Linked DNA regions of Arabidopsis thaliana. The protein of the gene in region 1 interacts with the protein of each later gene in a pairwise test. Each region holds a gene or a part of one and is shown on either strand. Other genes may lie near its edges. The genes, in order: AT5G19150 and PHOT2.

Region 1 (7,829 bases):
ATCCAAACTTGTCACACGCGCGATCATGGCGCGTGACAAAATTAGTGGGGCTAAAGACGGCGTAGCTTTTAGTTACTTTTTAGTGCGCATTAAAACGGTTAAGGCGTTTGGTTCATGCACCGAAAATAGCGTTTTAGTCCAAAAATGTGTATATGTGACTGATGAGTAATTAGATGGAGGAATATTCTAATGAGTAAAGAAGAGTAATTAGATTAATGAAGGACGAGAGTCCGACTTAAAGCCGTCCATGGCGGAGATTAGCATGAACACATCACATGTTATTTGTCTAGGGACAAGATTCAATGAAAGTCAGAGAGTGAGAACCGAGAAAAGGTTGCGTACCGGTCAAGATCAAATTAGTACCTTTAATTGTCATATTAGACTCCCAAGGTCGTTAAAACGCTTTGTTTAAATAATGTCAAGAGAAATTTGTTTAATGATTTGGTCCGACTCTAAAACCAAGTACTAGTAGCAGTGTAAGAGAGGATGGATCTCAGATACGTTGTTGCTTCCTCTTGTGCTTCCAGCCACAGTTCAACTTCAGCCAATGAACTTTGATTGAGAGAGCAGTCACAATGGCCTTTGTTTGTGATTTGCATCTGGTAATGGAGCTCACGATTGTTCAAGGTTTGCATCAGTGAAGCCATTTTCTTACAGACCAGAGATTGTTTTAGGTTGTTTATAAAGGATGGTTCTTAAACACTAGTGTTTTGTAACTTCAAACTGATTAAGGCAATCGGTACTATACTGAGATATGATTTTGAGTGATTGATAAAAACAGGCCATGGTTGATAGTTAACAGATTGAACTTACGGTTGATTAAGAAGAAAATTTTGATAAGGTTCTTCTTCCTTACACACTTTGATATGTCTGTATTGAAACCGATTATAAGACTACCTTTTCTCCTCCCACCCCTCGACATTGCTATTGTCCCACCTCGCTTCTTCTTGTTCATCTACAAGATCAGATAGTAAGAACAACATTAATAAACACTCAAAGTTCTGTAAGTTAGAACTTTTAAGACTATGGATTCCGCAACGACTAAGAACATAAGGGTTCATCCACAAGATAGAGAGTAAGAAAAACATAGCGAACACTCAAAGTTCTATCATGGATTATGCAATGACTAAGAACATAAAGGGCTCAATGCTCATTGATCCAAGAAAACACACTATTTAGTAACAAACTGAAAGAGAAAGAGTTTTCAGTTCAGAGAAACTCTAAACGGCCAATCATCTTCTCGTATCAGCACCCTGCAACTCATGTTTTCACTAATCACACATTTACGTGAATCACAATTTATGTTCTAGCATTATGCGATTTTTCTCCATAAATGATTCCTACCAATCCACTCCATAAATTTATTTCTGCAATCATACATTGTAACCAATCGGAACCTGAAGCAAGATCTCAGGACTGTAGAGTAAAAAGATTGAAACTTTCTATTGTACTAGTGCCAATTCTCGAAAACTTTAACTTGAATCCGAACAAAGACAGGTTTTGAATTACTAAAACGGTAAAACCAGATTAGCATCTTCACAAAAATCTCTAACGCATCATGATATTGGTCGAGACACATTGGTAACTTCCAAAGTCAAATAGATAATCCATCAATCGCTCACAGCATAAATCTATCTCTTCTGAAATGAAACAGAAGCAGAACAATTAAGAGCAAGCGATTGAGAGAGAGAGAGATAACACAAGACCTTGTTGTTGATGTTGTTGAGAAGACTGAAGAGATCTTTCGTATTGTTCAGCCTTTTCAAGGAAAGGCTTGTAACCAAGCTCCAGTGACAAGTAACCAAAGGCCAATGATCCCAACACCACCACCGATGATCGAATCGCGTTGTCCATCACCGTCCGCTTCATCTTCTTCCTCTCTGTCTGAAACCTCCGACTCTGAAAAAGTTTGCTTTTTTTTTCCTCTTTCCTATAAAATAATTAAATAAAAACGAAACCTTCTTAACCAAACAGAGAGTTCACTTCTCGGTGCTGTATCGGAAGCGGTGGCTTTCTCGGCCCTCAACGAGAGAATCTGATGTTGGTGAAGCCCAGTATCATCTCTGGCTTGGTACGATTGACTTCTCATTCACCTTCTTCTTCTTCAAGTGTGCTCAGAAGGCAAGAGTTCTTGGTACGAACGCTTTGTGGGTCACCAATCATCAGAGCAATGAGTTCCACATCAGAGGCCGACGCTGAGAGTGTTCTTAGAACCGTGACGCCATCGCTCGATCTCAAACGACACAAAGGCCAAGCTGGTTAGTGCTTGCTCTATTCAATTGTGTCATCAGAAATTTATCAAATTCGAAACTTTAGGATTTTAAAGTTTGAGTTTTTTCAGGTTACTTTGATGTTTTAGCTCATGTGTTGGAATTGATCTTGTGTCAGGGAAGATAGCTGTGATTGGAGGATGTCGTGAATACACAGGAGCTCCATACTTCGCTGCCATTTCAGCTTTGAAAATCGTTAGTAGTTTCGTTTTCTATTAGCCATCACTGCTTCTGTCTACATAAAAGTGAAGAGTGGTTTCATATCTGTAAAACTGTAGGGTGCTGATTTGTCTCATGTATTCTGCACGAAAGATGCAGCTCCTGTTATAAAGAGCTATAGTCCTGAGCTTATAGTTCACCCTGTTCTTGAGGAATCATATAGCATCAGGTGAATACTCCATTCCACAGTGTGTGCTACTTCTAACTATGTGGTTTTGTTCCGTATGTTTTTATTACAATACCCGGTTTCATATCTGTATATAGTCAACTCAGTGAAGAAGATAAAAGAGAAGTTCAAGATAAAGTGCTTGGAGAAGTCGGTAAATGGATGGAAAGATTTGATTGTCTTGTTATTGGTCCTGGTTTGGGAAGAGATCCATTTCTCCTGGTAAAGATTCATCTACCCTTGCTTAATCACATTACAGAATTTGATTTGTCATTACTTTGGTGGTGGACTTACGAGTTATGTGACTCTGTATTTCCAGGAATGTGTGAGTATTATCATGCTTCTTGCCAAAAAGTCCAATGTTCCTTTTGTTATAGATGGGGTAAGCAATGATACATAGCATTAAGTAAGGATTTGATAGGCTCTTGTCTTTTTCCAAGTTTTGATTGTATAATCTTCTGACTATGGCGATTCCGCAGGACGGGCTGTTTCTTGTAACAAATTCCATTGATCTTGTCCACAGCTATCCGCTTGCTGTCTTAACCCCAAATGTGAATGAGTATAAGCGCCTGGTTCAAAAAGTACTGAATTGTGAAGTAGATGAACAAAATGCTGAAGATCAGTTACGTTCTTTGGCCAAACAGTAAGTACAAAAATGACTTCATAGGTCATCTAGAGGGCACTATGGAAGTATCTCACACACACATCACCAGGCTCATCTGGTGATTTGGAACCAAAAACTCTGGTGATAATAATGTTATTCGTCTGTGTCATTCAGGATTGGTGGTGTCACGATTCTCAGGAAAGGGAAATCTGATCTTATAAGCAATGGGGAGACAGGTGAGTAACTTTTTAGCTATTGTATCTTTCCGTTAGAGGACGTTGAGACCGTGAGGTGTGATTATCTCTATTTTTGTAGTAAAATCAGTAAGCATATATGGTTCACCAAGGCGCTGTGGTGGACAAGGCGATATTCTCTCTGGAGGGTGAGCTCACCACTCTTTGATCCAGTATCATTAGATTGCTCGGGTTACCACGGTTAAAAGTTCAACTTTTGTAGCCACTGATAGTCTGCCTAATGGATTTGGTTTCATATAGTGTTGCAGTGTTTTTGTCATGGGCACAACAGCTTAAATCCGATCCTGAAAGGTTAGATACATCCTATATTGGCTCTGCGCAAACTTTCATTTCTAACTCAATTATTGACTGTGCAAAGTGGTTTTGACAATCTCTGAAACCCAACAAAATTTCAGTCCCTCTGAGAATCCAGCTATCTTGGGATGCATAGCTGCATCTGGCCTTCTCAGAAAGGCTGCATCTCTGGCCTTTACAAAACATAAGAGATCAACTCTCACAAGCGACATTATCGAATGTTTAGGGGAGAGGTATGGATTTCTTTCTTACTGAAACTGCTGCATTAGAGAATCCACAAAAACATTTCGTCTCAATCATAATGTTTTATCGACTTTTTTCGACAGTTTGGAGGATATCTGCCCTGCATCTTAATCTCAGAACACATGAAGTAGAGTTGTCTTGCCTTCTACAACATCTTATTGTCTGTGGGAAACTTTAGAAGTGTCTGTTCTCTTGTGTCTATTTACCTCACAATTGTTTTTTCTGAATAATAAAACTTGAATGCTGTGATTACCAAGTAAAGATTACGATAGAAACAGAGATATCGCCTGTTCTTCCTCATTACCATTGTGAGATTTACTATAGAAACAGAGGCAAAAGGATCAAGAGAAGGTAGATTTTTGTTTCAGAGACATTAACTTATTAGGAAGAAGACACTAATAACACCAGAAGACACACACGTGCTGTACAAAGAAGCATAAGACATAAGAGAGATACAACACTACACACATTATCACCAACCATTGATAGCTTCAAGTACTCATAGAACAGCTTTTTGTTTTTCCTACATATTTTTTTTTGTTTGTGCTGTTACAGTTCGAGAGCTTTAAGAGACATGAAACTTCTTTTGTGTTTCTCTTTCATTTTCAATCTGCAAGAACTGTTGCTCCTTCCACCTGTTCCCACCACCAAAGTTTGTGTTATATAAGCTTTTTAGATGTTGCTAAACAAAAATACTAAAATATGATTTAGTTTTGAAGAATCAATCACCTTGAAGGTAGCTCCCCAAATTTCTCCCTCATTAGCAGGAACTGCAGTGATCTTGTTCTTAGGGTTCTCGAAGCTCCTAAGCCCACCTAATGCCGTCGAGTAATAACAGCCTGCAAAACACGCATACAAAACCATTGAGCGGGTGATGCCCCAAAAATCTTGAATTTAGGAGTGAACAAACAAAACTGAAAAACGAACCTTGAGGGAAAGACGCAAGAGACTTGCCACAAGCACCTTTTAGTAAGTCAACATCATCAGCAAATGCCACATAGCCATCAGCTGTTATTCCCCAATACAATGGAACCTTGCCAACTTGGTCCTGCAGCAAATCAAACACCGTTTTTTGTTACCATTAGATTCAATCTACTTCACAGTTTAAAAAGTGTTTATCAGGGGGTTAAAAGAACTTACAGAGGCTACAAACAGAGTGGAGGTTGATTTATCAAAGACCACAAAGGCGAAATCGCCACTTAGGTGAGCAACAACGTGGTTAGCCGGGTAAGGAGCTCTGTCACGGAGAGTCTTATAAGCCTCGATGACCAAGAGAACCTCGTTTGCGTTTTTTGCAAGCCCGTACTGCTGTTTCAAGCTTCCTAGGTTGTCAAGTGAGCCTTGGAACAAGCAGAATATTTCATCCTTAGCTCCAAATGATCTGTATCATTTCAGAAAAACATCTTAAGACAAGCCTATATGTATATCAACAAAGTCCAAATTAACTGAACTTGAGCAAAATATAGAGAATAGTATTGCAAATAATTGACTGAAGTTATAAATGCGAATAGTCAGACCGATCAGTCAGCAGCAAATCTTTAAATAGACATGCAATTATGAATGTATTGGTATGCTTGATATGGGTAAAAGCTAAAGATAGAGTGTTGTGCATAAGGCTATTAATGGTCGTGGGATTTTATTGCAGGGTTTGGTGGACCAACCAAAGTTGTCTTTGTAGTTTGGTCATATCCAAAAACCAAAATACATACAGTCCCTATAGTTGTAACCATATAGAAATTTGTAAATGTAATATTTAGCCACGATTTATTGTTTGATTGAGTGATCGGTCATTGTTGTGATTGTTGAAGTTATGTTTTAAAAAATGTTGGTTGGGACTTAATATGGCCAACATACGGAATCTTGGTGTTTGATTGGTTGTGGTTATATTTTATAAATTTGACTGTATAATTTTAATATTGATTATTCTTATGCTAATATTTTCTTTGTGATCGGATTCTAAGTGACATAAGTACATGACCAATTCAGTAATGAGTCATGAGAGGCTTGTGAATCTTTTGGTGACTAACACAACTTCTGAGACGTGTCCTTGTGCCACCACCGTCACCGACAGAGTCAACTACTAAATTTATATTTTGAGGTATCAAAGAAATTTTGGATCTTCAGTCCAAAGTTTGCTAGGTAACAATTAATGTAAATTATCTCTAGTTTATTCACATCATCTCACTCAAATCTTGTTTCCATGAAGATTGAAAGAAATCCTTTTTAACCAATGAGCTAACTTTACTTGGATAAATATTTATCATTTTTAATTTCCAATAAGAATTATCCATACAAATTTGGATCGGTACATTTCAATAAAGCTACCTATGATGTACCTTGTATATGCATATTTCTAAAAAGATATATATGATTTGAGAAAATTTTATTCGGACTTACTCTATAAATTATTGTTTGGGTCCACACACCATAACACAAACATACATCACCCTAAGTTAAGTGGAGTGCTTTGAAGAAAAGAATACCACAATTATGTAATTCGGAATCTAGTAGAAAAATTATCTACAAAATTTAGTATCTAATTAGATAATTTTCACTAATACCCTATCTTCTTAAAACAAATTAGATAAGAAAATCGGACGAAATCAAATGAAATATGGTCCATACATGCAAATATGCAATTGACTTTTATTTGTCAGCGAAATTTAAAGGCTCGACGATGATCTCATCACCGTCCGATCATAGCGAACCGACGGTAGAAACTTTGGGACCATCGTAAAAGGCCAAGTTTTAATAGATATGAACATAAGAAAAATCGCCGGCGAGACTTACCTAGGCCGGAGAGGACTCTCGTTGTGATGGCTGTAAGCAAGCTGAACATAGTCGCCGACTTGTACAGAAACAGCGGATGGATTTTTCTCGACGAACCGGTTTACTAAAGTTGATCCGGTTGTTTTCGGCGACGGAGTTCTGCTTCCGGCAGCCACTAACTCTTCCGGCGGCGATACTATAGCTCCACTGAAAATTCCCAACATTTTCTCTCTCTCCTCCGGTGATAACAATCACTTCCTTAATTTCAAAACGAAAAGAAAAATTAAGCTAACTAAATCTCTGAGCTCTCTTTCTCTGGTAACGATATATCGGACATGGAAGACGAGACAAAGGAGAGAGAGATGTATGATGGTGTTTAAATATAGGAAGGGAAGGAGATGATATGGAGGGTATTTACGTCATTTCGTCTTTGTGAATCTTCTTCTCTCTTGATTCTTCTTCTTATTACACTGAAATTAACGTCGATACGTCATCGTATGGGCAGTGACGCAGCACAAATACGTGGGTCTCACACGGAAGAGATGGAATCATTCTGGAGCGTTAGATTCTAACATTGTGGGACCAATCTTGCCATTTGTGGTCTCTTGTCTTATCCATCCTCCTTTTTAATAATTCTCAAAAATCAAAATGTTTTATTTGAAAAATTATTCTAATTATAATTATTTAAACCGAATCCTAAAATGTATTTATATTTGAAATTTAACGTAACCATTTTTAAGGTAACATCCACTTTTCGTAAAAATGAAAAAGAAAGAATAACATCAACTTTAGTTTATTAACACTCTACAACTTATTGTATTTACTTTTTAACCAATTACTTCGCCCTATTGTAATATTGTTTGCAGTGGCCGAGCTAGTCATTATTTTATTGGGATCAATTTTAACTAATGACTAAAATCTATTTCAAAATAATTTTTATGGAGGTCAATAAGCATATTTTAAACTATTTTTTTATAAATTTTGCTTTTAAAAATACAAATAAATAAATA
Region 2 (4,773 bases), about 17 Mb from region 1:
TGCCATAGATTCACAAGCTGTGTAATATTCCACAGCATCACTATCATCCCTCTCTATGTCATCTGCCATTGTGTCACTATCATCCCTCTTTATGTCATCTGATACAGGTAAATCCTCTGCCATGATTGTAGACGTTACACGCTTTCTTTTCGTCTTCTTCTTCAAATTTTCTCGGCTAGGAAGCCCAGCAAGATCAGTGTTGCGTGGTGCAGGTTGTACTGCTTTACTGGAGCCAACACCTGGCAAGAAACTGGATACACTAAAATCATTGCTGTTCCCATTTGCCATAAGTGATTTCCAGGAAGACTTTTGGGACCAGGAAATATTGTCGATTGACTGCTCAAGATCTTTTGTTCTGCTCGGTTCATCCGATGATTTATCTGGTACCACTTCAGAAGGCTTCTTCTTTCCACGTATGGCCTGTGAAGATTCCTGTCTTCCAGTTTCCTCTAGGCTGATTGTTTGCCTATTCTTGCTTGGATGAGTAAGGTTCCCTTTTCGTCCTTCACTATATCCTTCTTCACTTGGTGTTTTTTTGTTGAGAATTGATTTCTGAGTTACAATCAAAGAAAGAGCCAGATCAGGGATGAGGTAGATGACTCATTATTGGGTTAAGTATAATAGAAAAAATATAAGTAGCACTACGTACCCGTTTTCTAGACAACATATCCAGCGCTGAGTCCATATCATTGCCACTAGATGCCACATTGATGATGAGGTTATCTTGGTCTGCTTCAATCTCATTGTCTTCTTCGGGGTCCACATTGTTTTTCTCAAAGAGCTTATTCATCACCGAGTTCATAACATTCACCTCGGCTTCTTGTCTTCCCACATTAACCGCTTCCAGATCATGAAGATGTATTTCCCGAGGAGTGAGAGAGCTGTTAGAGTGCTCTTCACAATCACAAAAGCTCCTTGGAAGAGAAGACGACACTGGAACACGCTGAAAGCTATACTTATGTTTACCAGTTCCACTAAGTGGCATAGGTTTCACCTGCACCACACATACGTAGCTCAAACCCTAATCTCTTACTACTCCTAGTACTAACTATGTCATATAAATGTTACAACTTTGAAGGAGCATTAGTAGTACCTTTCTGAGTCTGGGAAAGAAGATGTTAAGGTGAGTGGCAGGTGGTGAATCGGAGGGAGCTTTAATGGTGTTATCAGAGGTAGAAGACGCTGCCTCCCACTCTCGCTTTAAGCGAGCTAGATAATGCTCTTTTGCTTTCTCCAGTCTCAGCCTCCCTCCTTTCCAGACACATCCATTATACTGCCAAAATCGAATTAGGGTTAAGAATAACAAGAGTAAGGAGAGAGAGAGAGAGAGAGAGAGAGAGAGAGAGAGAGAGAGAGAGAGAGAGAGAGAGAGAGAGAGAGAGAGAGAGAGAGATCGAATTCACTCACTGTAGAGAAGAGCTTGGTGAGTGAATTGGTGGAAGATGGAGAGAAATCGATGTAGGCAAAGGAACGACCTTTGGTCCTGACGAATTCGACGGCATCGACGGTACCCATCGGAGAGAATATCTTGAGAAGATCATCTCTCCCGACGCTTTCTCCTAATCCGCCGACGTGAAGCCTAACGCCGCCGCCGCTGCTTTTTTCCTCCATTGCTGCTTGCTTCAGTTGGATTCAGTTTTCCCTCGCCTCTCCCTCACTTTCCTTACTTCTTAATCTTAACTAATAAGGCCCATTAGAGAAGACCCACTAGGACTTAATGGGCTTTTAGCGGGAAAATAATAAGGCCTAACAAGTTTTTAGGGGTCCCTTCTCTTTAATTTCATCGACATTATTTGAAACAGACAGTGAAAGAAGAAACAAATTGTGGATTCGTCGTCTGCGAAAGCATCTGGGAGAGAAGAAGCCACAGTCATTTTCTTAAACGTGTTCATTTTTCGTCTAATCAAATCATGGCGCATGTTCTGTTCTACTACAATCGTAAGTTTACTGGGTTTTATCTATTTATTGTTTATTCATTTTACATTGAAACATGTCTGAATTATTGTACTGGAAAAATTGATGTGAGGGGTGTAATAAATTCGTTTGATTATGAAGAAAATTTGTGAAAGAAGAGGGAATGATGAACAAGAGTGCACGTATTAAGAGGAAACAGAGTTGTGTGGTCCTTGACCTTGAGGGTGAAAAAGGGTCCATGTGAGTTTGATTATTGATAGCGATGTCTATCCTCCCAGGCTTCCGCATCGCTCATTTGCAGCCTCAGAAACATGATTGTCTTTTTAAAATAACTCAAATAATAATATAACTGGGTTTTGGAAACAGTACAGTTGTGTTTTTTAATTGGTCTATCTCTCTATCTTTCTCATCGTCTTTGCTCCTTTTAAAGACTGTGTACTATATTTCCATGAGTTGCAGCTGATAAAGCTACTCTGGTTGGTATATATATATTTTTCATTTATTTTATCTACTTCACCTTCTTTAACGTGTTTTGTTGATTTGCTTCTAAAGACTTTTAATGGCATTTATTACTTTGTTTCTCGAACCTACAGTTGTGTCTGCCTCTTCTTTCTATCTAACTTGTCTATGTGGTGTCTGGTTTTGATTTGCAGACTATTCATTACTCTGTTTCGCCATAAGAAAGAGAATAAAGAAACGTTATGGAGAGGCCAAGAGCCCCTCCATCTCCTTTGAATGATGCGGAGTCATTAAGTGAACGTAGATCTCTTGAGATTTTCAACCCTTCGAGTGGAAAAGAGACACATGGATCAACTTCTTCTTCTTCAAAGCCTCCTCTTGATGGCAACAACAAAGGTAGTAGTAGTAAGTGGATGGAGTTTCAAGATTCCGCTAAGATTACAGAAAGAACCGCTGAATGGGGATTGTCAGCTGTTAAGCCGGATTCGGGAGACGATGGCATTAGTTTCAAGCTGTCCAGTGAAGTGGAACGAAGCAAGAACATGTCTAGGAGGTCATCCGAAGAATCTACATCTTCTGAATCAGGGGCCTTCCCTAGAGTATCCCAGGAGCTCAAAACTGCTCTATCCACGTTGCAGCAGACTTTTGTTGTCTCTGACGCTACACAGCCTCACTGTCCCATAGTCTATGCCAGCAGTGGATTCTTTACCATGACTGGTTATTCTTCCAAGGAAATTGTTGGAAGAAACTGGTACTGCTCATCTCGTATCTTGCTTCTAGTTTCATTCCCAGTTATTAGTTAGAATAATATTGCTTTTGAAACCCATGCCAACTTACTCTGAAATGCTCTTAATCTTTGTGGGTAAAACGCCAGCCGGTTTCTGCAAGGGCCAGACACCGACAAGAATGAGGTTGCCAAAATCAGAGATTGTGTCAAGAATGGAAAAAGTTACTGTGGAAGGCTGTTAAACTACAAAAAGGACGGAACTCCCTTCTGGAATCTTCTCACAGTCACTCCTATCAAGGACGACCAGGGCAATACCATCAAGTTCATTGGGTACGTCCCTTAATTCCTCCCTGTTTTTCCCTAATTAATCGACTGTCCCTCGATCAATCATTTTCACATTTCCATCTGCAGGATGCAGGTTGAAGTTAGCAAATACACAGAAGGGGTAAATGATAAAGCATTGAGGCCTAATGGACTCTCCAAATCCTTGATTCGATATGATGGTATCTGTTTTTTTGCATCTCTTCGTTAATTCAACAAGTTTTTTTTAGCCAAAAACAATGATATAATTTAGCAAAGAGTGCTGATCCACAATCTTTAACATGTAATGGTTTTGATGATGATATCAGCTCGCCAGAAGGAGAAAGCTTTGGATTCCATCACAGAGGTTGTGCAAACTATAAGACATCGTAAGTCTCAAGTTCAGGAATCCGTGAGCAATGACACTATGGTAAAGCCTGATAGTTCTACTACACCTACACCTGGTAGACAAACAAGACAGTCAGATGAGGCTTCAAAGTCTTTCAGGACACCTGGACGTGTTTCTACTCCAACGGGGTGAGTCTTCGTAACCACTAACCACCAGATTACAGTAGTCTTCCTGAACATAAAATAAGGCATATATATTGCCCAAAAAGTGTGATGGCAGTGCCAAAGTTTTGCAGAAACAACTTGCTATTATCATTGCCAAATAGTGGTAAAATATATACTACACAATCTCAATCTAGTTGTTGTGTTAGTCAATATTTAACTCATAGATAATTTCCATTCGAATACGAAGATGCAGTTGCAATCTCCTACTATTGTTCTGTTTCTTATTTCTCGTGTACTTTTGTAACTTTGTGCTGGGCCTTAGAATGTATCCTCTGACATGGATTGGGTAGTGAATTCTGAAGCTGTGTATATATATGTATACATATACACTCAAGGATTTCTGATCTAGCTTCGTGTAATGTGCAGGTCAAAGCTCAAAAGCTCGAATAACAGGCATGAAGATCTTTTACGTATGGAACCCGAAGAATTGATGTTGAGCACAGAAGTAATAGGGCAGAGGGACAGTTGGGACCTATCGGATAGAGAAAGGGATATACGCCAAGGGATTGATCTAGCTACCACTCTTGAGCGCATAGAGAAGAATTTCGTCATCAGTGATCCTCGTCTCCCTGATAATCCCATTGTATGTTTTTTCTGTCTAAAATTGAGATGAACGTTTTTTTCTCGAACCTTAATGTATCAATTGTAGAGTATATTTCATATATTGATTGTTCTTACTCAAGTGTTCTACTATGTTTGTAAGCATATAATCTTGAATTGATAATGGAAATCGTTTTATTTGCAGATCTTTGCATCAGACAGCTTTCTTGAATTGACAGAGTATTCACGCGAGGAAATAT

The links.
Region 2: the proteins of AT5G19150 (region 1) and PHOT2 interact in a two-hybrid assay, tested with the Arabidopsis thaliana proteins (one large-scale study listed by BioGRID).

Annotation. Positions count from the first base shown.
Region 1 is NC_003076.8:6,422,612-6,430,440, reverse strand, and holds AT5G19150 (pfkB-like carbohydrate kinase family protein), read left to right. Parts: upstream 1-1,986; 5' UTR 1,987-2,038; coding exon 2,039-2,258; intron 2,259-2,388; coding exon 2,389-2,465; intron 2,466-2,548; coding exon 2,549-2,658; intron 2,659-2,753; coding exon 2,754-2,877; intron 2,878-2,974; coding exon 2,975-3,037; intron 3,038-3,134; coding exon 3,135-3,298; intron 3,299-3,433; coding exon 3,434-3,495; intron 3,496-3,574; coding exon 3,575-3,641; intron 3,642-3,753; coding exon 3,754-3,804; intron 3,805-3,908; coding exon 3,909-4,040; intron 4,041-4,133; coding exon 4,134-4,161; 3' UTR 4,162-4,236; exon of another isoform or gene 4,237-4,655; coding exon of another isoform or gene 4,656-4,685; intron 4,686-4,779; coding exon of another isoform or gene 4,780-4,889; intron 4,890-4,977; coding exon of another isoform or gene 4,978-5,098; intron 5,099-5,190; coding exon of another isoform or gene 5,191-5,431; intron 5,432-5,567; coding exon of another isoform or gene 5,568-5,662; intron 5,663-6,840; coding exon of another isoform or gene 6,841-7,043; exon of another isoform or gene 7,044-7,124; 3' UTR 7,125-7,136; downstream 7,137-7,829. Other genes in the region: AT5G19151 (uncharacterized protein), read right to left, coding at 894-955, 1,707-1,869; AILP1 (aluminum induced protein with YGL and LRDR motifs), read right to left, coding at 4,656-4,685, 4,780-4,889, 4,978-5,098, 5,191-5,431, 6,841-7,043. UniProt on the Arabidopsis thaliana protein: Catalyzes the dehydration of the S-form of NAD(P)HX at the expense of ATP, which is converted to ADP.
Region 2 is NC_003076.8:23,522,156-23,526,928, forward strand, and holds the start of PHOT2 (phototropin 2), read left to right. Parts: upstream 1-1,669; 5' UTR 1,670-1,938; intron 1,939-1,974; exon of another isoform or gene 1,975-2,055; 5' UTR 2,056-2,390; exon of another isoform or gene 2,391-2,567; 5' UTR 2,568-2,615; coding exon 2,616-3,124; intron 3,125-3,247; coding exon 3,248-3,430; intron 3,431-3,511; coding exon 3,512-3,603; intron 3,604-3,729; coding exon 3,730-3,937; intron 3,938-4,339; coding exon 4,340-4,556; intron 4,557-4,718; coding exon 4,719-4,773. Other genes in the region: ROS3 (RNA-binding (RRM/RBD/RNP motifs) family protein), read right to left, coding at 1-552, 650-994, 1,094-1,273, 1,408-1,611. UniProt on the Arabidopsis thaliana protein: Protein kinase that acts as a blue light photoreceptor in a signal-transduction pathway for photo-induced movements.